Tamandua tetradactyla: one gene and its partner. The protein of the gene in region 1 binds, or shares a complex with, the protein of each later gene. Links are inferred from orthologs where the notes say so. Each region holds a gene or a part of one and is shown on either strand. Other genes may lie near its edges. The genes, in order: pleckstrin homology domain-containing family M member 1 and MAP1LC3C.

Evidence for each region.
Region 2: the proteins of pleckstrin homology domain-containing family M member 1 (region 1) and MAP1LC3C are in contact, whole or in part, in a crystal structure (PDB 5DPW), measured with the Homo sapiens proteins. The link is inferred for Tamandua tetradactyla from reciprocal best matches to the Homo sapiens genes PLEKHM1 and MAP1LC3C. Residues at the interface, in NP_055613.1 of Homo sapiens: Glu632, Asp633, Glu634, Trp635, Val636, Asn637, Val638, Gln639, Tyr640; in NP_001004343.1 of Homo sapiens: Phe13, Arg16, Lys17, Glu25, Ile29, Phe33, Lys36, Pro38, Asp54, Lys55, Thr56, Lys57, Phe58, Leu59, Val60, Pro61, Glu63, Leu64, Ile72, Arg76, Phe114.

What each region holds. Positions count from the first base shown.
Region 1 is NC_135332.1:18,425,814-18,442,344, reverse strand, and holds the start of pleckstrin homology domain-containing family M member 1, read left to right. Parts: upstream 1-8,337; 5' UTR 8,338-8,450; intron 8,451-9,103; exon of another isoform or gene 9,104-11,093; intron 11,094-14,522; 5' UTR 14,523-14,561; coding exon 14,562-14,609; intron 14,610-16,531. UniProt on the Homo sapiens protein: Acts as a multivalent adapter protein that regulates Rab7-dependent and HOPS complex-dependent fusion events in the endolysosomal system and couples autophagic and the endocytic trafficking pathways.
Region 2 is NC_135333.1:13,050,664-13,067,175, forward strand, and holds MAP1LC3C (microtubule-associated protein 1 light chain 3 gamma), read left to right. Parts: upstream 1-9,335; 5' UTR 9,336-9,427; coding exon 9,428-9,485; intron 9,486-9,598; coding exon 9,599-9,654; intron 9,655-9,833; coding exon 9,834-9,940; intron 9,941-12,745; coding exon 12,746-12,998; 3' UTR 12,999-13,590; downstream 13,591-16,512.

The DNA of each region.
Region 1 (16,531 bases):
TAAATAAATGGGAACTCCTCAAAATTAAACACTTTTGTGCATCAAAGAACTTCATCAAGAAAGTAGAAAGACAGCCTTCACAATGGGAGACAATATTTGGAAATGATATATCAGATAAAGGTCTAGTATCCAGAATTTATAAAGAGATGGTTCATCTCAACAACAAAAAGACAGCCAACCCAATTACAAAATGGGAAAAAGACTTGAACAGACACCTATCAGAAGAGGAAATACAAATGGCCAAAAGGCACATGAAGAGATGCTCAATGTCCCTGGCCATTAGAGAAATGCAAATCAAAACCACAATGAGATATCATCTCACACCCACCAGAATGGCCATTATCAACAAAACAGAAAATGACAAGTGCTGGAGAGGATGCGGAGAAAGAGGCACACTTATCCACTGTTGGTGGGAATGTCAAATGGTGCAACCACTGTGGAAGGCAGTTTGGCGGTTCCTCAAAAAGCTGAATATAGAATTGCCATACGACCCAGCAATACCATTGCTGGGAATATACTCAAAGGACTTAAGGGCAAAGACACAAACGGACATTTGCACACCAATGTTTATAGCAGCGTTATTTACAATTGCAAAGAGATGGAAACAGCCAAAATCTCCATCAACAGAAGAGTGGCTAAACAAACTGTGGTATATACATACGATGGAATACTATGCAGCTTTAAGACAGGATAAACTTATGAAGCATGTAATAACATGGATGGACCTAGAGAACATTATGCTGAGTGAGTCTAGCCAAAAACTAAAGGACAAATACTGTATGGTCCCACTGATGTGAACAGACATTCGAGAATAAATTTGGAATATGTCCTTGATAACAGAGTCCAGCAGGAGGTAGAAACAGGGTAAGATAATGGCCAATTTGAGTTGAAGGGATACAGACGGTGTAACAGGACTAGATACAAAAACTCAAAAATGGACAGCACAATAATACCTAATTGTAAAGTAATCATGTTAAAACACTGAATGAAGCTGCATCTGAGATATAGGTGTTTGTTTTGTTTTGTTTTGTTTTGTTTTGATTTTACTATTATTACTTTTATTTTTTCTCTATATTAACATTCTATATCTTTTTCGGTTATGTTGCTAGTTCTTCTAAACCAATGCATATGTACTAAGAAATGATGATCATGCATCTATGTGATGATGTTAAGAATTACTGATTGCATATGTAGAATGGTATGATCTCTAAATGTTGGGTTAATTTCTTTTTTTCCGTTAATTAAAAAAAGAAAAAAAAAGAGAGAAGGAATAATTGGAGCTGAAGGGATACAGACTGTACAACGGGACTGGATATAAAAACTCAGAAATGGACAGCACAATACTACCCAATTGTAATGCAATTATGTTAAAACACTGAATGAAGCTGCATGTGAGGTATAGGTTTTTTGTTTTTGTTTTTTTTTCTTTCTATTGTTTTAATTCTTATTCTGTTGTCTTTTTATTTCTTTTTCTAAATCGATGCAAATGTACTAAGAAATGATGAATATGCAATTATGTGATGTTATTAAGAATTACTGATTGTACATGTAGATTGGAATGATTTCTAATTGTTTTGTTAATTCTTTTTTTAATTAATAATAAAAAAAAAAAAGATTCCTAGAAACCTCCCCTCCAAACCTGCATGTCCATCCCACCAGAATCTCAGACAGAGAGGCCCATTTAAACAAGCCTTTTTAGCTCACTGAAGTTTGATAATTCTTGAAGTATGGCGAGGGCAGGGAGGTGGAGGAAGCAGAGGTTCTTTGGTTTTTTAGGGCTGAAAGAGAGGAAGGACCAAGCATGGTGAGGATGAGACGACTAAGGTCTGATGAAGGCTGCTTAACCCAACTTAGTGACCGCTGGCCTGCTGCCCATCCCCACAGGGGTCAGGGTCTCTTCCTGGGAAGTACCAGTCTCCACCAGTACTGGCTACAGAGGCCCTGATAGGAGTGAGATGCTGTGGTTAAGACCTGGAGGGCGGGGGTGGAGTGGGGTAGGGGAACCATACAGGTTCCAGAAGAGGAAAATCCCTGAAGCCAGAGGTGGGAAGAGTGGTTCGAGTTGAGGGTTTTTATGTCAGAGGGTAATGCTGGAAAGAGTTTGGCGCCACACTGTGGAGTGTTTTGGCTTGCAGAACAGAAGGAGATTAAGATTTAAACCTGTGATCAATATAAAGGATCTCTGGCTCTCTAACACATGAGCAACCAAACTAACCCTGGACTTCCTAACCAGATCGTTACATGAGGGATCAATATACTTTTCTCTTATTTAAGCCTCTGTTCTTTTGGGTCACTATTGCAATAGCTGAACCTATAACCTAATAAAGGAGTGGGTACATGCATTGGCTAGCTATTGCCACAGTAATGCTGTGTAACAAACCATTCCCAGATTTAGTGGCTTAAAATAATTCTCACGAGTCTCTAGGTTGACTGGTGCGGCCATGCTTTAATGCTGTGCTGTCTGGGTTGGCTCCTCATCTTGGGATGGATCCACAGTCCAGCTGGGGCAGCTCTATTCCACCTTCTGGGCCCCAGACTGAAAAGACAGCAACTCCCCAGGAGCAGCTCTTCTCACGATGAAGGCAGAAGCATAAAATTAATAATAGAAACTTGTAAGGCCTCTTAAAGTTTAGGCTCAGAACTGACACATTTTTGTTTCCGACCCATTCCGTGGACCAAGGCAATTCACATGGCAAAGGCCAAAGCCAGTGGATTGGAAAGAACACTTTACCACAATGAGACTGTGGCAAGAGTGGAGATGCAGGGAAGGATGGAAAATTGGGGACAATAATTCTACCTATGCCAGCATGTGACTGCCCTGGTTTGGAGTCCCATTCTTCCAGTGGTTACCTATAAATGAAGCACAGCGAAATGTTAAGTCCATCCACGTGAAGACTCAAGCACAGTTCTGTTAGGTCATCAAGAATCACATCTCTGGGTGGGCCACGATGGCTCAGCAGGCAAGAATGGTCGCCTGCCATGCCGGAGGACCCGGGTTCGATTCCCGGTGCCTGCCCATGTAAAAAAAAAAAGAATCACATTTCCTTCCTCTCCACACAGCCCCTGACTCCCCACAATGCCTAGTAACAGGCCCTGCCCTTAGTGATGACTCAGGGAAAATTACTGAGTGCACTGTAGGTCGTTCTTCCTTCTCCCCATGTGATTCCTTACGAAATACAGGCAACTCCCTAAGGTCAGTGCAGAGTGCTATTTCTCCATCCCATGAGTAGGGATCTGCACCCAGATCTCTCTGACACCCAATCCTGCACCCACTGCCTCCACTATGGACCTCCAGAAGGAAGAGCTTATGCAGAGTTAAAGCACCAAAACAGATTAGTGACATTTCTTTCTCAAGAGGCCATTTGGAACCAGAAAGATTCCCATCACCTGAGATACCCTAAGAGGAAGGCGGTCGAGAGGCAAGACTTAGTCAGGGACCCACAGGAACCTAAAGAAATTTTTAAGAATAGTGAGATTCATCATCAGATCCCCCACTGCTCCACGAAGCCCCTGGGCCCCTGTCATCAGGGCAAAAGCAAAATCAACCCCAGATGTTCTGCCTTAATATCTGCCTTTCCCAGGAGATTTTGCCCTTTAAAGGAGAACCAGTTAAAGAGAGCCACAATTAACTTTAAAGAATGTCACCACTGAATTCCAGGCACAGAGCCACGTGGGTGGAAAGGGTATTTTAGGGCACTGATTCATGATAAATAGTTTCCCCCATTCCCTGTAAGTGACTACTCAAAGTTAAGCTAACTCAGACTCAAGTTGATAAAAACAGAGGGGTTGAGAAACTCAAGTTGATGTGAAGCGTCTTGATTGTGATAGAGGTAGACTATTTGAGAGCTTGCTGTTAAAAGTAATGGCTAAGGGGGTGAGCCACAGTGGCTCAGCAGGCAGAGTTCTTGCCTGCCATGCCAGAGATCCAGGTTTGATTTCCGGAGCCTGCCCATGCCAAAAAAAAAAAAAAGAAAAGTAATGGCTAAGGGATTGCCTTAGTGGACTTCAAGAGGATAGTATGCAGCAGTTTTTTTTAGGGGACAAAATAGAACAATCTATCTCCAAGAAAGGTATTAAATGAACAAAGGAAGATGTACTATGGTATGTGCTATCCATTATATGTATAGAATTATTTGGTCCAATACAGTAGCCACTCACCACATGTGGCTATTTAAACTTAATACCAATGAAATAAAAATGTAAAGTAAGCTCCTAAATCACACTAGCCACATTTCAGGTGCTCAATTGCTACCTGTAACTAATGGTCATCATATTGGACAGTGCAGATTTCCATCGTCACAGAAAGTTCAACTGGACAATTCTGCTATAGAAGACCTCTGAAAAGACACACAAGAAACTGGTAATGGTGGAGGCCTTCAGGGAGAGGGACTGTGGGGCTGCAGCAATGTAAACACTTTGTACCTTTTGAATTTTATACCATGTGTTTGCATTAAGTACTCAAAAAATGAATCAGAACCTAGGCATTCTTATACAGGGTTACTGTATACCAGGCAATGTTCCCAAGGAGATCTCTTTGCAATTAAAACAAATTAAGAGACATCATGATTTCATATTTGATTTTTTCCTCCACAGCTTAAACTTTTAGTTTCTGCTGCCATTTTTCTGCTTATTATGAGCTCACAGGTAGCAAACTGGATTAATAAAAGAAAAACTCAACCAGCTGTCATGCACAGGTTGACAGCTTTTTTTTTCCCCTGAGAAATGTGTGCAGGTGGTTTTGATTTTATTTTGCATGAAAAAAGCTTCAGCCATAATTCCTGCTGGCAAGATTGTTCCTAGTTCTATAAGGGAAATAAGTGTTCTGTAAAATGTGTCATAACTCTGGGCACCCTGCCTCCTGGGCCAGTTTGAGAATTCCTGTAGTAGAGTTTGCGGTTCCTACCTGGCAACATCCTGAATCCAGGCCAGTTGAGGCAGGAAAACCAAAAGGGGGCAGGATAGCACAAGTTGCTCTACTTAAAAGGCAACTTGTGGGGCAGTGATGTCCAAACGGTGACCACAGTTTCCTTAGAGGGCCGGTTCCTGCAGGCACCTGTGCACCAGGCACTGTTCGCAGAGCAAATAGTATTCTTTCACTAATATCTACCATGTATAGAGGGCATATGCATCTCATTTCACTTAAATCTTATATTAAATACATTCATAAGTTACCTGTGAGGTAGATTTTATTCTCTGCAATTAACAGATGAGGAAACTTAGGCTGGGAGGTGGGGAGGGGGCTAGATAACTTGTCCAAGTTCACAAGGATGATAGATCAGCGAGGGCCCTTTCTGTTCCAAGTGAGAGGAATTCAACAAAGCATTGCATAAATAAACCAAGAAAATGGCATGCGGTATATCAGTTCATATAACCAGGAAGCCTAAGGGTTCCAGGCTGGGCTGTATTCTGGACTCAAATGACATCATCCTCTTCCATCTTTTTTATCTGGGTTGGTGTTTTCCAGGGCCATCAGTAATCAGGAATGTCAGTCTCATGCTGTTGCAGAGCAAAGCTCTCAGACAAAAGCAGGCCTTCCAAAGGACTCTAATTGGCCTGCTTGGGCCACGGGATAACCCTGGGATGGGGGCCTTAAATCAGTAACCCAATCTCAGCAGAATCCCAGGGAGTGGAGGAGGCTCATCCCAAAAGTAAAGAGAAGGTTCTGTGACCAGAAGTGGGCAAGGGATGGAGGATCCAAGATTGAAGTTAGATTGAGCTAATCCTTCAGTTTTTCACATATAAATAGATACTATTGTGAAAAGTAAAGCACAAATTCATTTGAAAGCCAGTAGTGTGTTCATGGTGATTTTTGGTTCTTATGTATCTTTTTCAATTAAGGGATACTAAAAATACAACTACAATCATGACGGAGTTCACAACTCCCCCCACCCTCACCTTTTTTTTTTAATATTAGAAAGGGAGTCAATTAAGGATGTGTTCTAGCAAAGGGGATAAACCAAGAAAAAAGAGAAGGGAGTCGGGAGATAAAGGCCCCAATCCAGGAAGCACTGAGGGGAAATCTCAGCCGTGTGACTGACCTGGGAGGTCCCAAAGTGAGCCAGGGACAAAAGGGGCAAGGAACTGCTGTGGACCATTAAGTTTCATTAATGGTCCTGGGCTCCACACTGCTTTAGGGAAGGCCCAGCAAACAGTTGGGATACAGCAGAGTGGCATTCAAACCTTAACAGCCCTTGCTCAGTCCCTAGACTCTGTTGCCTCTTGAACTAGAATAAAAAGACCTGGGTTAGAATCCTGTTTCTATGGCTCATTTGTGGTGTGGCCTTAGGTCACCAAGTTCCTTAACTTCTCTTAAGCCTGTTTCCTCATCTGTAAAACGGGGATAATAACAGGTGTTTGCTGTTTGCACCTATCTGGCAAAGAGTAGGGGCTTCCATTTTCCATAAATAGGTTGAAAGACATCTCCTAGGCCTGGAAGACAGATTTGAAGACTGAAAACAGAAAGGAGCTTCAGAACAGCAGGATTCCTCACATTTAATTATGCTTCAGATCCACAGTGGTAAGGGGAGGGGATGGGTGAGATGTGGTGAAGCCCAAATTCTTGAACCCCACTCTAGAGTGACTCCTTAGGTCCAGGGTGGGGCACAGGAATCTGCATTTAGGATTTATTTCCAGGGAAGTCTGACTCCTGGGTTTCTAATTCTGGATGGACTTTAAATCTAAACTGATGGGCCAGTGGGATGTGAGGAGCCCTTCCAGCACTGGCCTCCAACTTGGCCTGTATATCCTCCCTTTCTCCCTTGTCCAGTGTTTTCTCTATCTCCCCTTTATTCTGACTCCCTCTCCTTAATTGCTTTCCTTCTCTGACTTCTTAGTCTTCTCTTCACCTCTTGGTGCACTTTCCCTGTCCCTTCACCTGCAGTACCTTTCCCCCTACTCACCTGGGAAGGCTTGGTTCAAAAGTGGCCTCCTCCAGGCTCTCCTGTCTGGCCCCATAGCAGCCCCCGCCCCAGGATGCATTGCTTTAGTCAGCTTCCCAAAGTGGTAAGTGGTCCCAAAAGGGGTATAACAAGACAAGAAGAGAAGCAAAGCTAGCAGATTTTGTGGAGAGGTGGGGAGGTAAGAGAAGACCAGGAGAGGGGGCTCTTAAAAAGGCAGAGGAGAGATTTCTCCCCGGTTCCCACAGCTCCTGCAGAGAGCAGGTGTGGGGAAAATTCCATGGAACAACTGCAGGATAGTATGTGCTCGAGTGGGGAGGGAGGGGTATGCTTGTACCAAGCCCCCAGTGCTCTCATCAGGTCCCCCAGTGAACAACTTCAGGGATTCCCTAGACTCCAAAGTGACAGTAATGGCCAGAAACGCTATCTCTTTGCCAATTAACTAGACTTTCTCAGTATATCCCTTCCTACCTTGCTTAAAATGAGTTTAACTTGTCTCTGTCCTCATCTGTAATCTTCCTGCTCCAAGATTGACCATAAAGTCTCCTGAACACACTCTGATCTGTCCAACTTAAAACCTAGGACAGATAATCGTCACTTCTGGAAGAGAATTACTAAAGCTGCTGCTGGGACCCTGACCTTCCCAGGAGAGGCCAATGGAGCACAAGACTCCCCGCCGAGGTCAGCAGAGCTTGCTTCCAAAAACTGAGCTGTTCCCCGGCCACCCCTGTACATACTTAGGACCTGCATGTAGCGGCACCTCCCACCGTCCCGACCCACGCGACACTCGGGCCCTCTTAGACGCATGTGAAGGGTGCCTAAAAGCATGGCACCTGCTGACACCTCTTGCCCTGAATTAGAAACGTCACGGTTTACGATAAGAAAACAAATTACTCGGCTAGATGACAACAAGTGGTCCCTTGAGCTTTACATGCCGCGCAGGATGATGGGTTCCCCGTCGCCCGGGGGGACCTCGAGGCGCTCTCCCGGTATAAAGTGTGGTCAAACATGGATGTTTTTCCTGCAAGCCGCCAGGCGCGAGGCCCCAGCCTGGGCCCCGGCTCCGCCCGCCGGGCTGCACTGATGCCCTCGGGGAGGCACAATAGAGCAGGCTCTACCAATCTCCTTTTACAGGTGGGCAGCCTCCGGCTGAGGGAGGTGAAGAGTTGGCTCTAAAGTTAGGCTGAAGCCGGGAGCGGTCAGGAGCTCGTCTGAGGCAGACCCTGCGGGAGGCGGGCGGGGCGGACGCGTTCTGCCCCGCGGTGGGATCCCAGCCTCTGCACGCTACACCCCGCCGCCGGCTCGCAGGCCTCCCAGACCCAGGCTGCGTCGGGGCCTTGGCTCCCGGGCTAACCCCACCCCGCGGCTCCTTCGGGCCTCGCGATTGGCTGCACGTGCCGAGGGCGGGGCCGGAGCGCAAAGTGAACGTGATGGCGTCAGGCGCCGCCGGCCCTGTTTCCTGTTGTCAGTGGCCAAGAGGTCGTAGCTTCCGGTCGGAGGCAAAGGGGCTGCCGCGGCCGGCAGTGTTCCCTGCCCTCTTGCCCGCTCCCTTTGGTGAGTCAGGGGTCAGGCGGCGAGGAGGACAGCGGAGGGGCGGCGGGGCTGAGACGTGGACGCGCGATGGGCAGCCCTTTCCGTGATCCTAAACCCCTGGCTGCCTTGAAACGGTCCGGCTTCGAAACACCCCAACCCTTCCCGGCCCAAACTTCACGTCCTTCCCTAAACCCACTCCCACCCCAGCCTTCGACCCTGTCACTGCTGGGTCGTCCCTTCCACCTTCTCCCATGACCTGACTCCAGCCCTTACCCCTACCGCCTCACCTCTCCTCATGCGTAAATGCAGCTTCACCCCTGATCCCACTTAGTCCAGTCGCAACCCCAATCTCAACCACATCCTTTTACCTCCCCATAGCACGAATCATCCTCTACCCTCAACCCCCATGACAATCCTAATGCTCCGCTGAAACTTCCCCGAACCCACCATTCTGGTTTCCCGTTTTTTGGCTCAACCTTTTTAGCCCAGTCTCCCACCCCACCCCCAGGTCTGCTCATCTCAAACACCTCCCTCGGTCCCACTCTCATTTAAGACCTCCCACCAAAGTAGGTGTCCTGTTTAGTTTACCCCTTTCTTCTTTGATAAGTCTTGATCCCAGCCTTACCTTTGGTCTTACATGTATCTTCTCACAAACTCAGCCCATAACTTCCTAGCCCACTACATATGTACTCCATTCTGTAACTCCAATCATCTTTCCACTCCCTGCCATCTTGTGGACACCCCATCCTTAAATCTTTGCTTAACTGTGCCTACTTCTTGCTGCCCAGTTCCTACCAACCTTCACCCAGTCTTCTCAAGTATAAGATCTCTGTGTCCTTTCACCTCTGCTGCCTCACCCCAACTCTTCATACTCATTCTTCTTTTGACCCCAGTTCCCATTCATCCTGAACACTTGGTGCAGAGCACCCTGCCAACCCCACCAGTTGCTTCTCACCCTCCAAATCTGGGTGCTTGCTTGAGAGCCAGGCGGTTAACCACTGAGCAGCTTAATTGGGTGTGTGCAAAGTCTCTGATGGTAAATAAGTGTTGAGAAATACTGGGGTACTTCTCTCTCTCCCTCTCTCTCTCTTTCTTTCTCGGGTCAGGGCTTTCCCTGGGTATCTGATCCCCTGTACCTGTCCTCAGGAATTGTGTTTCTAGCATTCATATTAAATTACTTGTCCTGGCTGCTGGAATGGTAGGGCATCATCCAAATACTTAGGAGGTGAGGGATGGTCACTCATCCAGTTCATCCAGCTGAGGTCATTTGGAGCCCTCACTTCATCTTGGCTTGTGTTCTGACCCTGGAGAACATCAGGGAGTGTCACTGTGTGGGGTTGGCCATGATGACAGAACCATGTCCATGTACCTTGTCCTCGCATTTGTAAGGGACCCTCCCTCAAAGCTCCTTCCTACGAGGGCTGATTGCCAGATCTGTCCCAACACTGAACACAGGGTAGGTGATGGGTGCCAGAGATGATGTTACATGTTGCGAAGGATATTAGGGAAGCTGAGGCCTAGGTGTGTACAGAGCACCTGTACACACAGGTGCTGTCATTGAATTTTGGCAGTTTGAGGTTACCCATGAATGCCTGGAGCCAAGTTATCTTATAGTAACTGAGGCAGAGGGTTATTCTTGAGACACCCAGGCCCCGTTTTCAGAATTTACAGTCTCCTAGTGCTTCTTGGTGCACATTCCCTCTGCATTCTGGTCACCCAGCTTGAGAAGGGTTGGTCCTCCTCATGTAGCAAGCTGAAAGGCCCCCAGAGGAACACATTGCCTTTGCTTGCCATTCCACCATTATTGTCTCATTCTTTTGAGAAGGGGATGCTGTTCTACCTTCAGTAGCCCTCTGTTATAGTGAATGATTTTCATCCTGATAAGAGCTTAGTTTAAAGGAAAGAGCTCCATAATCACCCCATCACTTATGAGTTGTATGCCTTAACTTCCCACAGTCTATGAAATGGAGACAATGATACCTGTCCTGTGCCTTATTTTTATTTTATTCAATAGTTCACTCAGCAAGTATTTTTTTAGCACAACAGTGTGCCAGACACCATTCGAGGCACTGGAAATGCGATGATGACCGTATCAGGCAAAGTTCCTATTTACATTCATTCAGAATTTGGTCCCAGCTAGAATCCTATGGTAAATGGGACAGGAATATCAGGGGCGATGGGTGTTATTGGATGGAAGAAAGGAGGAAGGAAAGAAAGATACTGAGTGTTCACCAACTTCACAGTTCTGCCCTTGCCCGTTAGCCCTTGACTGGTATCTAACCCTCTTATTTCAAACCAATTAAATAACTGGTATTTAATTGCTTCAAAGGCTTCCTCTCCCCCACCTCTCACAAGACACTTGTCCAGAAATCCAGTTTTCTTCAGGTGGAAGGAAGCAGCTGTTTACTCATTCAGCACTCACATGTCTGAAAGATCATCTTTTCCAACTGAAAAATATGACTCATCAACTGGTACAGGAGCTGAGTGGCTTAAATTGCAGTCTGTTCTAAACAGGTACACAGTGTGATTCTGCCAGTAGAGGGAAGGCTGTTGGGAATGGCTAAGGAGTCTCTAAAGAGAAGATGTTGCTGTTTACTCATGGGCTGAATGTTTTGAAAACCCATTTGAAAGCGGTGAAGCTAGCTATCCATTTCTTCTTTTAATGTAAGTCTCATCTAAGCTATTCTATTTTTTTTTCTTCCCTGGTTTCTAGAGGAAAAGAAATTGAACATGTACAGAAGGCCAGGCAGTCCAGTGAAAAACAACCAGGATAATTCCTTCCTAACTATATGTTGTGGCATTTAAGAAATGCCAGCTCTGAAACTTGGGTCTAGTAGAAAGGACCTGGGCTATAGATCTGATTGGCAAGTTGGTTTTAGGCCTTTTAGATCACAGATAAAATGAGGCTTTTGAGTACCTCTTAAAACCTTCTTAAGTATTAAGTTTGCCTATAACTCCTTGAGCCAAAACCTGAGACAATTTGATCAGGTTGAAAGGCATAGAGTTGGAATGAGGGAACTGGAGAACTCTGGAGAACTCTATCCCTTACTTAAGGCCTGTTTCTGCTAAGCCTCATTTTTCTCAACTGTAAAACAGGAATAAGCATCCTTCTCCCACAGGATTGTTGTAAGAATTAAATGAGGTTAGAGTATGTGGTTAGAAATGCTTGTTTTATTCACCCTGGAGAGCTCTGTAAGGGAGAATCAATACTTTAAGGGCAGACGCAGCCCCGTATCACATAATGTGGTGTCTTTCTAAAGGGCAGAACTTACCTTTTCCCGTGGTAGACTTTCTGAGAGGCATTTGGTATCACTTCCCAAGTTCTCCCCTTATTCCCTTCAGCATAGGTTTCCTTGAAGCCACACCTCTTTGGTTTGAATCTTGGTGTCAGAGAAGAAAGTTTTGAGGACTGAATATGAATCCATTTCCATACAATGGTAGATTTAGGGCCTGGGCCACTCAGGTGGATGATGGGGTGCTGACCAGCAGGTAGAGGCCCATAGCCCTCTCTGATTCTACAGTGATTTCTTGGGTCTAGACTGTCAAATTCCTGCCTTTGAGTTGGTGTCTGCCTCCTGGAGGCATTATGTAACAGACGTGGCTAGGTAAAGCACTTTGGCTTCCTACAAGGAAAAAGATGTCCTGAATTGTGGCCTGAATCCCAAGGTCTTGGTCCTGTTTTCCAGATTGTCAAGTGGCTGCTCTCCTGGATTCCTCTGAACTGTTGTCATTTTGTAGCTTTTTTGACACTTTGTTTAGGAGTCAGTAACTTGTCTGGCCCTCCTCTAATCTCTCTTATCTTCAGTGTACTTTGGTTTGGCAAATGATTTCTTGGCAAGATCACCCCCTTACTCATACCCCCCTCTCCATAAATACTTAATTATTCTCAACTAATTAGACCTTAATGGAGCCAGGCTGTTAATTTAGATTGTTGAGATCCGTGACCTGGGGGCCTGGCCTGGCTGGCTAGGGAGGGGCAGTTTAGAGCTTGAGGGCTCTGTCTGGAAGGGCTGAAGTTGCTGAGTGTTGGAGCCCAGAGAACCTTGACTCTGCTGGGCAATCTCCCTGGGCTACATTTGGGTAGCCTTGAAGGAACCTAAGCTCCAGGATCAGACACATTTCCAGGGGTGACTCTGTGCTGGTTGACCACAGCACACCTTTCCTTGTCTTCTCGGTCCCTGAGTATGAGCTGGTTCCCAGGGGAAGGCCCTAAGATTCCCCAGGTAGATGGGAGCAAAGAATATGGTGAAGAGCGAGGCAGTCAGACAGGGGCTGCATCCATGGCAAATGCTTTTCCTGGCAAACTGTCACGTCCTGGCCAGAGCTGGTCTGCAGAGGCGCTCCTCTACACATACCTGCCTCCCTCTGTTTGTCTGACTTAGGAGTCCTGTTTACCTTCTACCAACTCCAGACACCAGGGATTGAATCAGAGCATCGTCAAGTTCTAGGACCACCCTGCTTCTGTCCTTTCCAGACCTCACACTCCCTGCTCTCTTATAAATCTTTCTTGCCAGACTGGCCTCGATGTGCCCGTGCACCTGGGCCCCCAGCTGAAGTGCACCCCTTCCTGCCTACCCAAGCCTAGCTCATACTCACCTCTTCCAGAAAGTTTTCCCTGTTCACTTAGGTGATTGTACCCATTCAGGTGTCTGAAGTCTTTTCCCTTGAGCTGGAGTAGGCACTCTAGGAGTGGGTGGTAGAGGCAGGCCACTTAGTAGCTATGGAATCTTGGGAAGTTCCTTGACTCCCTCAGCTTCCATTTCCTTATCACCCCTAATGTGGTTAATGAGGAAGGAGTAAGGCAATATGCGTAAAGGATACAGAACCCATTTAACCTTCCTTGGTTTTGTTAACCTCTGTTGGGCCATGATTTTTTGACGTCAGAACAGCAAATAATCTTTTTTGGGGGGAGGGGGGTGAGGATGTGAGGGGGAGGTATTCCCTGATGCTCAGCACTATGTTCACTGGAGATTTGTTGAGATGTGAATGGGCTTGTCCAATCCCAATCAGACAGACACAACTGTTCAAGTTATTGGGGGTTATATAGGCCAACTAACAGCCCTCTCAGTCTCAGTCAGGTGGAGGCTCTACCAAATATTCAGTTCCCCAGGGAGGAAGCCAGCTGCCCTGAGGCTGCACTGGTGGGGATGGCTTTACCCTTAGACCTGGGGATCTGGCTCCCCCATATCCCAACTGAGGGCCCTCCCTTTACTTCCTTTTCAGAACAATGCTTGTACCTCCAAGAGAAGGTGAGGGCTTCAACAATAGAAAAGAAAAGCATTTTCCCACTTAAAAAAAACAAACAGATTTAACTGAGTATTGCTTGTATATTTGGTATGTGGGTGGCAATATCCACTGGGATCAAAGATAGCATTTACTGAGTGCCTGGTCCATTTCAGGACCTGTGCAGGGTACTTCACATATGTTCATGTCTCTTTCTGACAGTCTGATACAATGTCTAAGCATGCCCAGCTAATTAGAGGTGAAATGGAGATTAGAACCTTTGTTGGTCTCTTTAGATGCATCCTCCTGTGCTCTGCAAGGCAGACCCTTATAGCCTCAAGGAGAAGCAGAAGTGTAGCAAAGCAGCAGTCTTTCCCCTTTTGAAGCTAATTCATTTGTTCTTTTCACTGCTGACCTGCAGACCAGGACTAGGGTAAGAGGGCCTAATACAGAACCAGGACCTGAATGTGAATTCTCAGCCCCGGCTTCCTGGTACCTATGGATCTTTCAGCTGCAGCATCTCTGTATCTAAATCAGCCATTCCTTCCACTCCCACACCCTGATCCCACAGGTTCCTGGCTTTCTGTACTGGCATTTGGAGTAAAGGGCCCTTACCGCCCACTCCTTGGGGCTGATCCACCCCGGGATCATAGGACTCCTCACCTCCTGAGGTCTGAGCCTTCTGATTTTTTTTTTTTTTTTTCCTTTTTTACTTCCTTCTTTATAACCCGCTTTCCAGGTTTTACTTTTGGATTCCGAAGAGCTTTGGTTGCAGTTTGAGTGAGATCAGCTGACATCCTACTGCCTACTGGAGGAACTGGGTAGAGTTAAGTTGAGAACTTGCTCATCTGGCCTCCATCTGTCTCACAGGTGACGTGTGATTCCACGGGAGTTGCGGCACAAGTGGAAATGCTGTCAGTGGTGGAGAATGGACTGGACCCCCAGGCTGCCATCCAGGTAGGTGGACAAGGGAAGATTAAGGGTGGAGAAGGGGTGTAGAGAGACAACTGTTTTATCAGTTTTTTCTAACTTTGAAATGAATGGGCACTATCCAAAAAGAGAGGGCTTAGGTTGAGGAAAATGTTACAGTAGAAGTAGGTCTGAGGAGAGCCTATCCTTTCTCAGTCGTCCTTTTGGTGATTAAAAACAAATGACAATTTACAAAAAAACAGTGGGGATTTAAGATAAGTTAGCCAGAGATCAGGAGTTTCCATTTAAACTTTCAGCCCTTGGCCTTTAGGCCATGATTTGGTCACACAGTTTGGCCAATACGGTAAGTTGGGTTGAGACAGCTTCCCAAGCACTGGTTTGTTACGTTTTCATAATTTTAAAAGTAAGTTGGCATCTTACATATATCTGAACCAGTCAACTGGAGCCCACTCAGCCTCCGCTGATTGCTGTGTGCATCCTAACTGGGCCCCGGGGCTCTCTTGGGCAGTCTGTGGGCTAAGCTGTCAGTTCCCTTAGAGTCAGGAGGTCAGGGCAAGTTTGGGGCTGAGCCCCTGGCAGAATCCTGAGATGGCTTTGGGGGGAGAAGGCAGGTTTTTTCTTTCCTCCCCAGTGTTGTTCCCCTATTCAGAGAACTTTCTGCTTGAAAGGAACTGCAGATGTCAGAGATGTGCTTTCCCCTCTTTTGACCAATGGAGAGTCCAGCTCCATACATTTAACCAGCTGGCTTTCAGGCAGAGGCCCTTTTCTTTGTGTTGCCTTTCCCATCCACCCAAGAGCTCTCCAGGAACATGGCCCTTGGCCTGCAAAGCCTGCTAACAAGGGGTAGCATGAACTAACTCCATGAGGGTATGAGATCCTCAAATGTATGTCTTATTAATCCCTCTATACCCTACACAATATTTAGTGGGTAGGTATTGGTGAGACTGTAGAGAAACTGGAACCCTCATACATTGCTGGTAGAAATGTAAAAATTGAACATGAAGTTACCGTATGATCCAGCAACTCTGCTTCTAGATATATACCCCAAAAAGTGGAAAATATGTCCACACAAAAACTTGTACATAAGTGTTCATGGCACAATTATTCATAATAGCCAAAAAGTGGAAATAACCCAAATGTCTATCAACTGAATGGGTAAACAAAATGTGATATATCCATTTAATAGAATATTATTCAGGCATGAAAAGGAATGAGGGTGGGCAATGGTGGCTCAGTGGCAGAGTTGTAACCTGCCATGCTGGAGACCTGGATTAGTTTCCCGGTGCCTGCCCATGTAAAAAAAAAAAAAAGTGGAATGAAATTCTGAGACATGCTACAAGGTGGATGAACCTTGCAAACATTTTGCTAATTGAAAGAGGCCAGACATAAAAGGGTAGATATTGGATGCCTCCATTTATATGAAATCCATAGGAACAGACTGAAGGTTAGTGGTTATCAGGGGAAGAAGGGAGGAGGGAATAGGAAGTGACTGTTAGTATATAAGGGGTTCCTTTTTGGAGTGATGAAAATGTTCTAAACTTTGTAGTGGTGGTTGCACAATTCTGTGAATATACCAAAAGCCACAGAATTGTACACTTTAAATGGGTGATTTTATGATGTGAATTATATATCATTTAAAGCTTATTAAAAAACCATTTAAATTTTCAAAGAACATTAGTGTTTACCACGTCCACTAAAATCAAAAGAGGGGCGGGCCACAGTAGCTCAGTGGCAGAGTTCTTGCCCGCCATGCAGGCAGTTCGTTTCCCGGTGCCTGCCCATGCAAAAAAAAAATCAAAAAGTAAAATTCTTATCTATATTCTATCAGCTAGCAAATCAAACCACAGTTTTTGCAGTCCTTTTTTAGTCATTTTCCAGTGGCTTTTGTAACTTTGACATAATTATAGCATACTGCCGGTTTTTACTTTTACATAGTACAGTATTTTTTA
Region 2 (16,512 bases), on another chromosome or scaffold:
GTTATAGGTTGACAGTGATAGAAAATTGTTTTCAGCCTAATATAAAATGAACTACTTTTATCTATATTCTTAGCTTTAAAATTGCCCCCATTTTTCTTAATATGTCTTTTTTGAAGTATGAGCTAAAAACTCCTTAATACATATTTAAAACTAAGTGCCCTTAAGGCTACATAGGATGCTAAAGCTGTGGGGTCTATGAAATATACACTCTGCAAAGAAATATGCCTGGAAAGAGAACTAGCTACACAAGTAAAGATCTGAAAGTACAGGAAATAAAGGAACTGTAAAAGTAACAGATACAGAAGATGGAAGAAGGAGACCCAGAGAAATTTTAGTTTTTAATAAGATTTAATAGAGGACTCTTGGTTAAGCTGATAAGAATGGAACATAAAACTGTAAAAACTGGTAAAAGACATAAGTTTTAAAAACAGTCTGGGGCAGGCCACGGTGGTTCAGCAGGCAGAGTTCTCGCCTGCTATGCTAGAGAACTGGGTTCGTTTCCCGGTGCCTGCCCATGCAAAAAATAAGAAATAAAAATAAATAAAACCAGTCTGGAAGACTGTTCTAAAGATCAAAAGCTATGCAATTTTAATTCGCTGTGCATGGTTTGTGTTATAATAGAAATTAAGAATGTGAAATTCCACTTAATGACACAAAGAATAAAACTATAATCCCACAAAGTTTTTACAGAATGGGAGAGGAGACATCTCGCAGGGGCTTGGAAAATGGATGGCTGAATGATAAAAGTGATTTAGCAAAGAAGTGTTGTGCTCAGTGAATAGAGACATCATACAAGTCCCTTGAAGTCAGGTTCAGGGTAAGATTGAAAATAGGATTGGATGAAAACTTTAATATGGGAGATTGGGAAGATGACAGTAATGCCATAATTTTTCAATCTCCAAATCCCCACATAAAAGCAGCTGGATAGCAAACCAAATACAGAGAACATTTAAAACAAATTTAGGTGACTTGATGTCCTCAAATCCCAAAATACAAGTGAATGAATACAAACCCACTATAGTCCATAACCTACATGAAATTGGCATCTATTGAGAAGTAGAGGCAACAGAGCATCTGATGGGCCTGAGAAATAACTAAAGCGGGCCTATTTAACAGTATTTGGGATTGGGAAAGGTTTCACTCATTTCCAACGTGGGTGTATGCGGGACTTAAATAATCTAGTACTTATGAACTACTGAAACTGAACAGACAAGTCTCCATTCCTGGAAAGGGTCCCCCATGGAAGAGAAATTTTGGTTTTATCAAAATTGAGCAGGAGAGAAAATAGAGGTAGAGGAAGAGCAGGTTAAGTAGAGTAAGATACTAGAGTACTTAGGGATGCACATTCTGGTTATAAAGTATTGAAGATATTCAAAGGAGTGATTGCTATAAAATTCAGGATATTCTAAAAGAGGGAGGACAAATGATGGGCTTTCTAGGACTGGCTGACAAAATTTTATTACTTGAGTGGCTTATGGGGTGTTTGCCTTTAGTAACTAAGCCATCTTATTTTAAAAGGCAAGGGGTCAGCCTTATAATAACAAGCCATATAGCTGTTTTGTGTGGTTTTACAATAATTTTTTTAAATGCTAGTAGTTCATCAAACTGAAGATGCTATTGATTGTAAAATACATCATTACTTTATGAACCATTGGAAAAAAGAAGAAACATCCATTATATTGACATGCCATCAACAGTAAGACACCCTATTTTTTTCTCAATGTTCAAATGAGTACCTTAGAATAAATGAAACACAGTAGATACTACAAATCTCAATCCTCATACACAAAATCAGGCAACAACCTTCCTCCCCAGTCAAAGACGAAGTTTTGGACAATTGTCTCTCGACAATTGACACCAGATGGGCTCTGATCTTAAAAGACATGAAGCGCAACTGAGGGAAAGGTAAGACTGCTTAAAAAAAGGAAGAAGTGACACTCTATAACAAACAGTATGAGTCCCAGTCCCATTTCAGTCCCATTCTTCTCTTTCTGGAATTCCAGTTACATGTGTTGGACAGTTTGAGTTCGTCCCGCAGTTCTCGGATGCTGTTATGTTTACCCCTGTTCCTTTTTTCTGTTTTACAGTTTGGGTAATTTCTATTAACTCATCTTCAAGTTTGCTGATTCTTTCCTTGACTGTCTTAAGTCTAGTGATGAGATCATGAGCCATTCTTCATCTCTCTGTTTTTTATGTCTAGCATTTTCATTTGACTCTTCCGGTTTCTCTATACTGACGTTTCCCATCCACTAAATCTCTCCCTAAACACATTGGTGTTTAACACTTGCTGATCGTTGTTTCAGGGAGGCAGAAGAAGTTGAAAGAACTCCAGATAGGAATCAGAAGACTTGTCTGAAATTCTGAGTGACCTCAGGTGAACCACTGAACTGTTCACGCCTTTGTTTTTCACAGTTAAACATGAGGGGTTGAAATTTCTGAAATTGCAACATCAAAATTCTGAGAATCAAACACACAGTAATCTTTTTGATTGATGGGTAACCATTTAAAGACTATTTCAAAAGTTCCACAAGAGGGCAGCTCCTCCACATCACTTAATTTTGGGAGGGAGGAAATAAAATCCAAGCACCTTTGAGTCTATAAAAATGCTTTCTTATACAATATTTTTATTTCTTTTAATTGTACAAGTAGAACACAATATATTCTCACTTAAATATTCCAGCATTACAGATGAATTTCAAAACACTTGTTAGTACCCTAATCCTAGTACCCTTCCATATTATCAATTTGATGAATATGTCTTTTCTATGCCGCTTTTTCTGTGACTTTTTAAAAACATGAGTTCTGCACTAATTTTTATAATCGCATAATTTTGCAATCTTCCTGTCAATATACATTAAAAAGCTTTAACCACTACCTTTAGTTCTATATAACGCATGTCATAATTAACTCTTAACTGATGACATTTAAATTATTTTCTATTGTCAGTGCTTCATTGACTATTTCAGTACAGTATTTTGAAAAAAGTGTTTAAAGCCAGACTTTTTTTCATAGCGATTCAGATTTTAAAGCTAATTTATTAACCCAAAATAGTAATGTTTTAGTAATTTCACTAGTCACAAAAATATATACGGTCAGGACACAGAAAAGAGATTAGAAGTGGGGAAGGTTGGCAGCCTTTCTTGGAAGTGTTAAGGTTTATTCCATTTTGTGATATTTATCATTCTAGGATTCCCCTCACTGTTAAAGGCATTTACCAAGCATGGTCTTAACTTAGATTGGATCAGACTTAGAGACAAATGGCCCAGTTACTGCAGAGAAGATGGAAACAAGGAATGATCACACGCTGCCTCCCCAGAGAGAGTAGGTTAACCTGTCAGCCACAGGAGGGAGCTGTTTTGGAAGCAGCCCCAGCCAACATCTTAACTAAAAGCTCATTAAAGACTCCGAGCCAGAACCAGCTAAGCTGCTCCTGAATTGCTTGCCACACAACCCATGAAATAATGTTTGTTGTTGTTTTAAGCTGCTGAGTTTAGGAATGATTTGTTATGCAAGAATAGATAGGTAATGCAACTAATATCTACGTTGTGAGCCTCTCTGGGTGAGGTCAGATGGCTGGGAAATCAGGTTGGGTAAATTCCCAAGGTCCCAGAACATCAGGTCACAGTGGCTGATCTGTGCCATATCCTCCTCCCAGCCTCAAATATTCTAAAAATGCCATTTTCTAAGGGCCCACAGGGCCAAGGGCCAGGTGTTTTCAGGAGCACATTCTAATTAATGTAATAGATGCTGAAAAGCAAGAACTTTCTCAGTGTTTTAGGAAAATGGGCTTGGAACTCCCTTTGCAACTAATTCCACCAAAGCTTGCTACCTTCTCTAACCAGTTTACCAATGTTTTTCAGGTCCGCATTAGGTTTACTTTTTTCCCTTCCTACCTTCCTGTGTCTAAGGGATTAGTACAAGCCCATGAACAGCCTCAATGTCAGAACATGCTTTTTAATCCCCATGGATAAGATACAAACACTGCCAAAGTTGACTCATAACAGGAGAGCTGGGGCTTATGACAGCTGACGGTGGGAGTTCTGAGGCAGGCACTTAAATCCTTTAACTTGGCAACCCAAAGGAGCTGGGGGTGGCGCGCTCACCTTCACTCTGGGATGCTATGGTTTTATTTCTAAAAAAGTCATTCTGTGATGACATTTGGGAAGTGGGCAATTAGGCTTCAGGTTTGGAGGGATTAGAGGGAACGATTTCCACTTTGAAATGAACTCTGAAGATCCAAACAGTGGGTGCGACAGAGGATCTGGTCATTTAAGAATTGTTGAGGTAAAGAGACTGCTAGAGAAATCTCAGAAAATATTCTCCCTAAGATTACAAGGTTCCCCCCGCAATTTATTAATTTAAAAGTCAAGAATGGAACACATTAAGTTATAATGGAATAAACATAGCTTTTGGTGTTGTATAGACATGAGTTCAAATCACACCAGCTGTGGGATCCAGAGCATGTTATTTTGCATCTCCAAGCTCAGAAGGAATAATTCGGAAAATATGTATAGTATTTAACATGGTGTCAAGCACACTTAATAATTCCTCCCTTTTTTCCAATGAAGGATAATAATAATGGCAATGTTAATAAGTTAAGTCTTTTGTCCAGTTCAACCTTAGACTTTCATGGCAGCTTGAAAACCAACAACCTTGTCTTGTCCAAAGGCTCTAGGGAACCTCTTTGAACCTCAAGTTCTTCACCAACAAAATGGTAGAAATAATAACTTACACTTATAGGGTGGTATGTGCCCCACGCACTGTTGTAAATTTTTTTTTACATATATTAACAAACCCACTGGATGCAGCAGCCCACTAAGGTAGTTTTTTGTTTTGTTTCATTTCGTTTTTTCATTCTACACATGAGGTAACTGGTAGAGAGAAGAGTGTATCAATGGGCCAAAGTTCACTTAGCTAGTAGGTGATAGAACCAGAGTTCAAACCTGAACAGTCTAATTCTAGTGCCTACACTTTGTGCGTGTGCTTGAGGGGTGGATTTTAAATGTGAAACCAATAAAGACTGTAGGAGTTGCCTGGGAAATTATCTTTGCTTCCTTATTTCACACCTCCCCCAAACTATTCCTATGTTTAAGGTACATCAGTGGCAGGAGAGTGGAAGTTAGCTGTCACTCTAAGCACTTTTAAGTCGGAGGCAATTAAGAGCAAGCATGCCTTTGCCGCCCATTTTCACATCTGACATGCTGGAAACAAAGGACTTTGAAATAAACAGAATAGCGCATCTGAAACAGCACGTATGCCTGAATTTCTTTTGGAGTAGAACCAAACAAGAGAATCTTCCTGTTTGCATTGGGCCATTATGAGGATGAGAATAAAGCTTTATGTTTAGCAACTGAGTTTGGGGTATATTTCTCGCATTAGCATAGCTTCGTCCATCCTAACTAATAGTTATTAAATGGCAGTGATCATTATTTTTCTCAAATAAAAGACATAAAACCTTGGAAGGAAAATTTCATGATGTAGATATGAAAAATGTAGGATTCACTCTTCTTGAGCAATCACAATGACATTAGGAGAACTCAGAGCTTTTTAAAGGATTAAATGATAAACTGGGTGAGTATGAATAGGAAAGAGTTAAGAGGTCCAAAAAGGGAAAAGAAAGGGACCCCCAAGCCATGCATCTTTACGGAAGACTTGCCCGGGCCCTTCCTGGGTTCCAGCACCCAGACAAGCTGACTGCGTGGTGTAGAGCTGTATAATCGACTCAGCTCTGGGAGGGGCATGGAATTCTTTGCAGAAGAAAAGGAAATGTCCTCATATAGACTATGGTGGTGAGGGCATGGCCCTGTGATTATACCAGGAACCACTGATTTTTTATTTCGGTTGGATTGTACGATATGTGAATAAAACTGTTTAAAAATGAACAGAGAGAAACAAGTGCTGGAGAACATGTGGAGAAAGAGATGGATCTATTCACTGTCTGTAGGGATCTGAGAGGTGCAGCCCCCTGGAGGGGAGTGTGGTGATTCCACAGGAGACTAGGGGTGTCATTGCCATAGGATGCTGAAACCCCATTGCTCAGTATATACCTGGAGGAACTGAGTGTGCGGACAGGAATGGACATTTGCACACTGGTGTTTATGGCGGCAGTGTTCCTGTTCATGACTCGCAATGAATGGAGCTGGCCTAAGAGTACAATGACTGAGGAATGGAAGGGGAAACTATGTTGTATAATACAATGACAACAGACTACTGAGAGCTGCAAGAAGGAATGAAGGTGTGAGGCATGCAACTAGGTGAATGACCCTTAAGGACAGTATGTTGAATGAAATGTCAGAAACGAAAAGATAAATATTATTATACCTCACTCATATGAACTAACTATAATATACAAACTCAGAGAAATGAAATCAAGAGCATAGGGCATCAGGTTAAGACCTATTATAAAGGTTCCTAAATTGTAAGTTCTTATAGCAGTCACATCTATTCCAGAGTTGTAACTGTTATTTCTGAATTCTAAGATGCTGAACTCTCTGTATATAACCTGGTCATTACCTGGAACTTTGGGTATTTGTGTGACAACTGAGTCTCAGAGAGCCCTGAAGCTATGAAAGTCAGCATTATCCCACACAGAAACTGTTGAAAAAGTGATCAGACTTCAACTAGAAATATGAGTGAAGCTGACCTGGATAGGACTAAGGTACATCAGAGTGCAGGGTAAAGGATGATATGGTTTATATATTAAAACCTCAACTTCTGTGTGAGACAAAAGAAAGAGAAGGAAGAGGTTTATATTTTCTGTCACACAGTATCTAATTTAACTTGTGCATTCAAACACCACAATTACATGGAATCTTGAATAGGGCATGAGAGCTTGTTGGTTTGTAAAGAACAGTGCGATCTACCAATACATCCCAGAGTAATTTGGCAGAGAATAAAAAAGTATTTGCAAAGCCCCCTTGGGGAGCTGGGGAGAAAGGAGGAAATATTAAACTTCTCCACCTGGGGAATTCCTGATATCCTTGCAAGCATTGAGGACTACCAATTTAATAGGCTGAGCCTTCGATCTTGGGCTTTGACCCTATAAAAATTATTTCTCCAAAGGAGAGCTTAAGCTAATTATAACTATGTCTAACAGTCCCCCAGAGACCTCTTTTGTTACTCAGATATGGCCTTTCTCTCTAAGCCAACTCCGCAGATGAACTCACTGCCCTCCCCACTATGTGCGACATGACTCCCAGGGGTGTAAATCTCCCTGGCAATGTGGGACATGAGTCCTGGGGATGAGGCAGGACCTGTCATCATGGAATTGAGAAAGCCTTCTGGACCAAAGGGGGAAGAGAGATATGAAACAAAATAAAGTTTCAGTGGCTGAGAGATTTCAGAGTCAAGAGGTTATCCTGGAGGTTATTTTTATACATTATATAGATATCCCTTTTTAGTGTATGGTGTATTGGAGTGGCTAGAGGGAAGTACCTGAAAGTGTGAACTGTGTTCCAGTAGCCTTAATTCTTGAAGAAGATTGTATAATGATATAACTCTTACAATGTGACTGTGTGATTTTGAAAACATTATAGCTAACACTCCCTTTATCAAGGGTATGGACAGATGAGTAAAATAATATAGATAAGAAATAAATAATCAATATGGGGGATGAAAGGTCAAATAAATTGGTAGATGGAAATACTAACGATCAATGAGAGAGCGGGGTTAGGAGTATGATATGTCTGAGTTTTTTTCTTTTTTCTCTTTATTTTTCTGGAGTGTTGCAAATTATCTAAAAATGATCATGGTGATAAATACACAACCATGTGATGATATTGTGACCCCTGATGGTATACTTTGGATGGATGTTGTGATGGGTGAAGATTTCTCAATAAAAATATTTTGAGTAAATACAATAAAACAACTCAACTTACTTCCCCAACTCACTCCACAGGGCCTAGACAGAGTCAAGGAAGGACACGACTATGCTGAAATGGCCTTAGAATCTGGAGGCCTGCTAAGAAACCCTTCTGACTGCTGAGACCAAGTTCTCTCTCCTCATTGTCTCACTCAAGGCCTCAGGGTGGGCTTGGCAACCATTACTCCGGCTTTGTTGGCAGAAGGAAAGGCAAAACTTAAAAAATAGAGACTTAAATAGTTGTGTAAACAACAGTAATAGCCTACTTCTTTTTTGTTCTGTCACTCAGCCAGTCTGGAGAATGTTTGATCATTTCCTTCTGTATCATCATCAGTCTGAAGACTCTTTCAGTGTCAGATGACTCGGTCTGGAATGGTCCCAGCGAAGGCCAATGACTTCTCAGGAGCACAACCAACAATGGAGGAGATGCAAATGGTTCAGTCTATTCTCCATTCAGGATGGGGCTGGGCCTGGAAATACGAAGGGACCACTGTGCTCTTGGATGTGAAGTGAGTGGGTGATCAGCTTCGATAGCAATATCATTTTCCAGAAGGGGAAGCTGGGTCCCTAAAACCATAATTTCCATTTAAAAGAATGATCTCATGGAAAGCATCCTGGACGGCAAGCAGAACTGTCTTTAACTATCTGTTTAATCCCAGGTAAATAAGTTCATTTTTGTGGCTCGTGGTTGCATCTATTTTTTAAAGGCGAGATCTTAATATGATAACTGTCCTGCTCACATTCTTGGAACTGCAGAAATATGACAAAATATGTTGGGCAATTGCAGAGGGGAATATTACTTTGACACACATTAGATCTCAACCCTAATTTCACATCTTCTTATTTGTGCGACCTTGGGCAGATCACTCAACATTTATGAGTATCTATTTTTTACTGTGAAAAACAGCAGCACATTTCAGGGTAAGGTGGAAGAATCTTAGATTACCTTCATTGCTTTAGTGTTAAATGTCCACACTTGCCATGGAAACAGCCTAACCAAAAGGTCCTACCCACAATAGTTCTGTCCCCACAAGAATGGATTAAAGGAACGTAGGTTTTTGGGCGGCACATAACAGATTCAAACCAGCACACTCCACCCTTTGGAACCCCAAAAGAAGTATTCTTTCCATATGCAAAGTACATTCTTTGCATCACAGTATCACAAAGGCTTAACTCACTAAAAAGTTTAATAAAAAAATAATAACAACAATAATAAATGTCCTTACTTAAGGCTATTTCTATCCAGGACCAATGCACTACGTTGTAAACCTTGATTTCCTTAGTAAAGACAAATTCTTAATTAGTTATGAGCAAAGTGACTTTCTCTGACTAACAAGCATGCAAATTCCATTTCCATCCTCAGAACCTACCTCCCTCCTGCCTGGATAGGGGGTGGGAAAAGGGGAGGGAAGGAGAAGTCTGATATCACACAGCCCTATGTAAGGGCTTCCTCAGGTTCCTGCAGGCAGTTTGGAAGCAGCTAGAGGAATGAGTTAGGTCCTGGTCCTGGGCTTTTCTTTTCTTTCTTTCTTTTCTTTTTTTAATCAGACAGACACAGCTGTAAAAATGCAGCCTCCACAGAAAAGCCCAAGCCCCAGACCTTTCAAGCAGAGGAAGAGCTTAGGTAAAGTTCTGGGGGTGTCTTTTTAGATTCCAAATCTTAAGAAAGGGAAAATTTTTAAAATGCAGACTTCTCTTACATGCTTATATATTCCTTTGCACTTACAATTTTCACAGCAACCAGAAGAGAGGAAGTTGCTGGAATCCGGGCAAAGTTCCCAAGCAAGATTCCGGTAAGACTCGTGTTTTCCTGGGGGTGGGAGTGGGGTGGTAGGGGGGCCTGTGATTCTGTTCTTTGTAAAAACAAAAACCACTCAACAACCTCCTTCTCTCTGTTCCAAGTTCCTAAGAACACTGAGTCACAGTCTTAGGCACTTGTTTCAGGAAAGATTCATGCTGAGACATTTGACAGGTGGTAGTGGAGCGCTATCCCAGGGAGAAGTTCCTGCCCCTCCTGGACAAAACCAAGTTCCTGGTCCCACAGGAGCTGACCGTGACTCAGTTCCTCAGCGTCCTTCGGTAGGTGATGAATCCTGCGGGAGGTGGCAGCTGTGGATGTCTCTGGGCTTTGGGGAGAGTGGGGGTCTGGCAGAGGGAGACAGGAAAGAGTTCTGCTTCACCTTTTCCTTTAATTATACTTTTAAAAAGGGTGAGCTTGGGTGAACGGGTGGTTCACTGGTAGAATGCTCACCTTACATGCAGGAGATCTGGGATCGATTCACAAACCATGCACCGTGCCCACCCCCTGCAAAACAAGGCGAGCTCATGCATCCCCTATTTTAAACAGAAAAGAAATACCTTGCTAATAACCCTCAGTGAGAGGTCCCAGTGTTGACGTAAGAGCTGTTTTCTCTTTTATTTCAACTTTTACTGAGACCCTATTTTAATTGCTACCTTCAAATGTCTCTAATGACTTTTCAAAGGAGACTTGTTTCTGAAACTAGTTGAAGAAACCCTCCGTTGTCAGGTATTTTGGGGGCCCAGCAGTCAGCATTTTGCCCTCATTAGTTCTCTTTCTTTGCTCCCCTGATGGCAGTGAGGGGTTGGGTTTTGTGCATCTGCTAGGATCACCGAGCACAGGAAGCAAGTACCTTCTGCTCCTGCACGGCTTTCTCCCTCTCAGGAGAAGGAAGGGCAAAGCAAAGGAAATGTTGCTGATTTTAAACATAAAACTTATGGGATTTCAGTTGGTGCCTGTCAGCTAGACTCAATAAATACGATTTGGAACTAAAGCCCGTTGACTGGTGGGGGGGAGGGGGGCGGCCGTCAGCATGGCTGGTGTGTGTGTGTCTCCCTGAGGCGGAAATAACCTCTCGGAGGTTTTAGCTGATGCAGGCATTTTCTCCAGAGCACTTACTATGATTTTTTTATGAGCTCTTTTAGAACGCCCAGAGTTTTCCTCAGATCTGCTAAGGGTTGTTTAGGTGAATCTGGTGGAAACTGAAGGCAGCTATGGGAGAACCAAAATCAGGATTAGATCGTTGGGCACCATTCCCCCCTTTCCTCCATGTAGGGCCACCTACAGTCTTCACGCACTCCCCATTCTCCATCCCAGAGATTTCAAATTTCTACTTTAATTCCTTCAAAAATAGTTGACACGCAGCACGCACTATATATCAGGCTATTTATATTCTATGCTCTGGGTATGGGACAGTGAACAAAACAGACAAAATTCCTGCCCTAAACATCTTCTAAGCCACAGAGTTCTCCCTCTTGGGGACCTCTCGACGTTAAAAGGATAACCTAATAGGAGATGGAAGGAAAAGAAGGTCAAATTTCTTGACAAGAAGGGTATCCTTTGAGAACCAACTGCCGACCTCCTCTTCAGCTCTGTCCTTTCTACAGAACAGATGTTTGGTCATCCCAGGAGGACAATGCAATTGTCAGGACTCAGTCTCTGGGTCTGCCAGCATCAAGTAACTGGCCTGGCACCTTTCAGCTGGGCCCAGGAGGGCACCGGCCATGGCTCTTAAACAACGTAGGGTGAGGCGGGTTGGCTGTTGAGGAGGATGGGTGGAAAAAGAGACATTTAGCCATCACCAATAGATGTAACTTGCCATGATGCCAAAACAATGATTCAGAGCTCTTAGCATGCCCAACCAAATGTGGCTGCTCCTTTGTCACCTTAATCCAAGGGAGAAGTTGTTCTAAATGCCCCCCGCCCCTGCCCCGAAGCTGTTTAAGTGATAGGTTATGTGGCATTACTGGAGAATTCTTCACTTTAGATTCATAGCAAACAGAGGCCTACTTACTTAGCTTTTTTTTTTTTTTTTTCCTTTTGCATGGGCAGGCACCGGGAATCGAACCCGGGTCTCCAGCATGGCAGGTGAGAACTCTGCCTGCTGAGCCACCATGGCCTGCCCTTGCTTAGCATTTTTAACCTGTATGTATTTTTTCTAGTAAATGAAGACATGGCCTTGCACTTCGGGCCCAACTGAGAGTCCCAGGGCATTTGAAATCTTCCGGGAAGTATAGTGAATCTTTTGGCCAATTTCTAATAACTATTTTGTTGCCCCAGTAATACTACAGAGAAGGCCATTTAGGCAGGTCCTTTAATTTTTTCTACACTTTGGTTTTTTTATCTATAAAGTAGGGAATCAAATGAGACAAGGGCTGAGGTTTTGTTAAAAAAGTTAAGTGGTGGGGGGTGCAAAGGTGGATCAGTGGTAGAATTCTCGCCTGCCATGGGGAGACCTGGGTTCAATTCCTGGACCAGGCACTTCCCAAGCAAACAAAGAAACAAACAAAAAATTTAACAAATGGTGCTGCAATAACGGGATACTCACATGGAAAAAGAACGAACTGTGGCCCCACCATACTGAGTACAAAAAAAAGAAAGTTAAGTGGTGGACAGATATAAACTACCGTTTCAGCAAGGATGGTGCAGGCAGGCATATAGGTAGAAATGGCAGTTTGAGAGACTTCAGGCAGCGGTGGGGCAGCAGGGGTGCTGCCTGTGTCTCTTGAGCAATGGTTCTCAACGTGAGGTGCACTTACTTCACAATCACACAGATGCCTAGGCTGCTTCCCAGATCAATTCAATTTAAATCTGTGGGGGTGGAGGGGGTGGGGGAGGTGGGGGGGGTACTGGATCCCAGGAATCTGCATTTTCAACAGGTCTCTCCTGGATGATTCTAAAGTGTGAGGACCACAGCCCTAGATTGGGGAAGGGAGGGCATCTGGGTAGAAGCTTACATTGGACAAAAACTGAGCTACACCTTCAGATCAGAGGCCCATTCCCTGCCAGATTAACTTCTTTCCTTTCTGCCATCTCCCCACCCCACACCTGTGCCCTCCCCTACCCACCTGCTCCCACCAACCCAGGAGCCGCCTGGTCCTAAGGGCCACTGAAGCCTTTTACGTGCTGGTGAACAATAGGAGCCTGGTCAGTACGAGTGTGACCATGGCCGAGATCTACAGGGACCACAAGGACAAGGACGGCTTCGTGTACATGACCTACGCCTCCCAGGAGATGTTCGGTGGCTTGGGGTGGACAGCCATCAGGGACCGGCGCCTCTTGGGAACAGGGCTGCCAGCCTCTCAGGCTCCGGTCAAGAAGAAGTTGTCTTCTAACTGATGCAGATGGGACTGGCTGTTCCTGTGCGTGCGGTGGAAGGGTCGAGGAAAACGAGTATGACCTGGAGAGACAGCCCCATCAAACGACACTGAAGCCACCGGTCGTTTCTGGCTTGGTTTCTCTTTTCATGAGCCCTGTCACTGGAAGAAGCTCCCATTGCTCATGGAAATTTTGTAAATGGTGATTCTTTTTGTCTGAATAAGCAATGGTGGATTTGTGTGATGATGTTGCATGATGCGCTGGAGTTATCTTTAAAACGTCTTCGGTGGTGGAGGTAGGGCAGAGCCTTGGGGAATCCGAGTTCACTGTCTCCTGGAGGTGTCACTTCTGTGGGTCAGTGTACAGAGAATGCCTGCTCGGTGGTCTCTCTGGAAGCCGGTGCAGACAGTGCAACCACATTAAAGCTTATCCGGGTGTGGTCTTATCTGTGTCATTAAAGAGACTCTTGTTACATTTCCATAGTACTCACTCAGTTATTTCCTATTATATTCTTTTTTGTCTATGCCAGCATTATGACTTCTTGATTTTAAATAATTTAAATTAATAGTCTTTTTTTAAGATAAGAATCTTTAAAATAGTAGTCAGCATTTAAGTTCTTTTTATAGACCAGGCTTTATTCAAATACTCTACATGTGTTTATTCCTCATGACTCTTCTATATGTTAAGTACTATAATCCCCATTTTAAAATGAGAAAATTAGGTCAATGAAAGGTCAAGAAACTCACCCAAGGTCCCAACTAGATTTTGAAATCAAGCCCCAAACCCCTTTGCTAGTCTTCCTTTCTAACGCAGAAGTTTCTTCACTTGGTGGGAACCGAATATGCTTGAATTGAAACTGAGTTACTAGCTTAACAATTCGCAATGGGAAACAAAGAGTGTTCTAGTTTGCTAGCTGCCAGAATTCAATACACCAGAAACAGAACGGCTTTTAAAAGGAATTTATTAAGTTGCAAGTCCACATTTCTAAGACTGTGAAAATGTCCCAACTAAAGCAAGGCTATAGAAATGTTCAATCTAAGGCATCCAGGGAAAGATACCTTGGCTCAAGAAGGCCAATGACGTTCAGGGTCTTTCTCTCAACTGGAAAGGCACATGGCGAGCATGGTGGTGTCTGCTAGCTTTCTCTCTAGGCTTCTTGGTTCATGAAGCTCCCCTGGGACGTGTTCCTTCTGCATCTCCGAAGGTCTCTGGCTGCGCAGGGTCTGTAGCTCTTTCCAAAATGGTTGTCTCTTAAAGGGCTCCAGGAAGCAAATCCCGCTTTGAATGGGTGGAGACACACCTCCATGGAAATCATCTAATCAAAAGTTACCACCCACAATTAGATGGGTCACCTCTCCATGGATAATTTTAAAACTCCCACCCAGCAATACTGAATGAAGATTAAAGGATTTTCTGGGGTGCACAAATTCAAACCAGTACAGAGAGGGAGACACATAACTGCAGTAAAGCTTGGACATGTAAATCTAGTTTTGTGCAAAGGACATGATTTCACTGATAGGAAATAATTAGAATAAGCAAATTCATAGAGTCAGAGACTAGAATATAGGCTACCAGGGGCCAAGGTAGGGAGAGGGGATGGAGAGTTAATGCTTGATTGGTACAGAGTTTCTGTTTGGGGTGATGGAAACATTTTGGTAATGGATGGTAATGATGGTGGCACAATATTGTGAACACAACTCTGCACTGAATTATATGTTTGAATGTGGTTCAAGGGAGACTTTAGGTTGAATATATGTTATTGGAATTAAAAAAAAGCACATGGGACTTTACAACACAAACAGTAAACCCTAATGTAAACTACGAACCATAATTAACGGTACAATTATAATAATATTCTTTTATCAGTTGTAACAAGGAACCACACTAATGCAAGCTGTTAATGCCGAGGTATATGGGAACTCTGTATTTTCTGCATGATTTTTCTATAAACCTACAACTCCTCTAGTAAAAAATGTTATATTTTAAGAATTATATTAAAAATAGAACTAGTTCTATGCCAAGAAGAGGAGAGCCCAAAGAAGGCAGAGTACCACTGTGTTCGGAGGGTTCACTCAGGAAAGACACACAGAGGAGTGCAGTTTGAGTTGGGTTTGGAGAAGGAAAAGAGTTTTCATGAGAAGAAATTCTTTTTTGTTGTTTTTGTTTTCACTTACAGCCAGTAAAGATTTATTACACATCTGTTGTGTGCCAGGCAAGAGCTACAGCAGTAAACAAGACAGAGAAGGGCCCAGTCTCATGGAACTGGCTCCAGTGAGGAAAGAATGAAAATACAGAGACTAGTAATAATGTAAAGAAACAATAAAACAGAGTTGGGAGCAGAGACAGTGAAGAAGACTCTACCTCGATGGTCAGGGAAGGCTTCTTGGAGGAGGTGGCTTTTGATCTGAGTCCATACCATGAGAAGAAGTCAGTTCTTTGTGATCTGGAGGAAGAGCCTGCAAATTGTGTAAGAAAGTGAACTATGTTTTTCAGTTTCCAATATTTTTATTGACGCTATTTCCTTCCATGCTTTTGGCTTTTCTGATTGGAGCAGGATATTTTCAATGGGCATAAATTAAAGTTTTAGCAAATATTTATTGTCATCTTCTTTCTTTCATTCTTTCTTCCAGACCCTGGGTCCCTATTGATATGGACTGGCCCCCTAGCTCAGAGAACAATTGTCCCTGATGATTCCTCCCCTTTTACATCCATTTTCCTTTTACTTTGATCATTTCTTCACCGTCTCCATGAAAATAACCTGGGCCAATTTCTGCTGAACAATGGAAAGATTACATTATCTTAAATTATTACACACTAAAAATGACAAAGATAAAAAGTATTGATCGAAAACAAACAAACAAACAATACGAAAGTATTGATCTGCCACTGGAGTGGAGGCGGGAATGACTAGAAGAGACAGGTGAAAACTTAGGGACAGAAGTGGGAAGATTCAGGAGAGGATGCCCAGGGAATACCCTGACATAGGGTGGTACAACAACGGTGGCTCAGTGACAGAATTCTCACCTGCCATGCCGGAAACCCAAGTGACATAAACTTAGTGACATAAAACAGGATTTATTCTTTCTCACGATATTCTGGCTTGGCGACGAGGTTCCTCAGCTGCTTTCACCTGGGCTCACGCAGGCAGCTATGTTGAGCTGGCAGGTGAAAGAGGCCCTGAATTCTGGCTGTTGGCCTGTGTCTTGGGACCACCCTCATTGCCACTCATCTTCCAACAGGCTAAACCAGCTCCTGAGATACAGTGATTTTAGGGTCATGTTCCAGGGAAGGCAATGGGGAAAATACAAGTCTAACTGTATTCTCCCAGGCTCTGGGTCTTGCCCAGTGTCATTTTGTTGCATTCTTTGGTCAAGCCCAGATTGAAGGGATGGGAAAATTGAAGCTTCTCCTTTCAAGAGGTATGTCTAAGGAGTCGTGGTCATATTTAATCTACACATACTCCTAATAAACAACCTAGCTTCTTCTCCATCAGCTGCATCTGACCCATTTTTTGTGATTTATTTCCACCAATAAA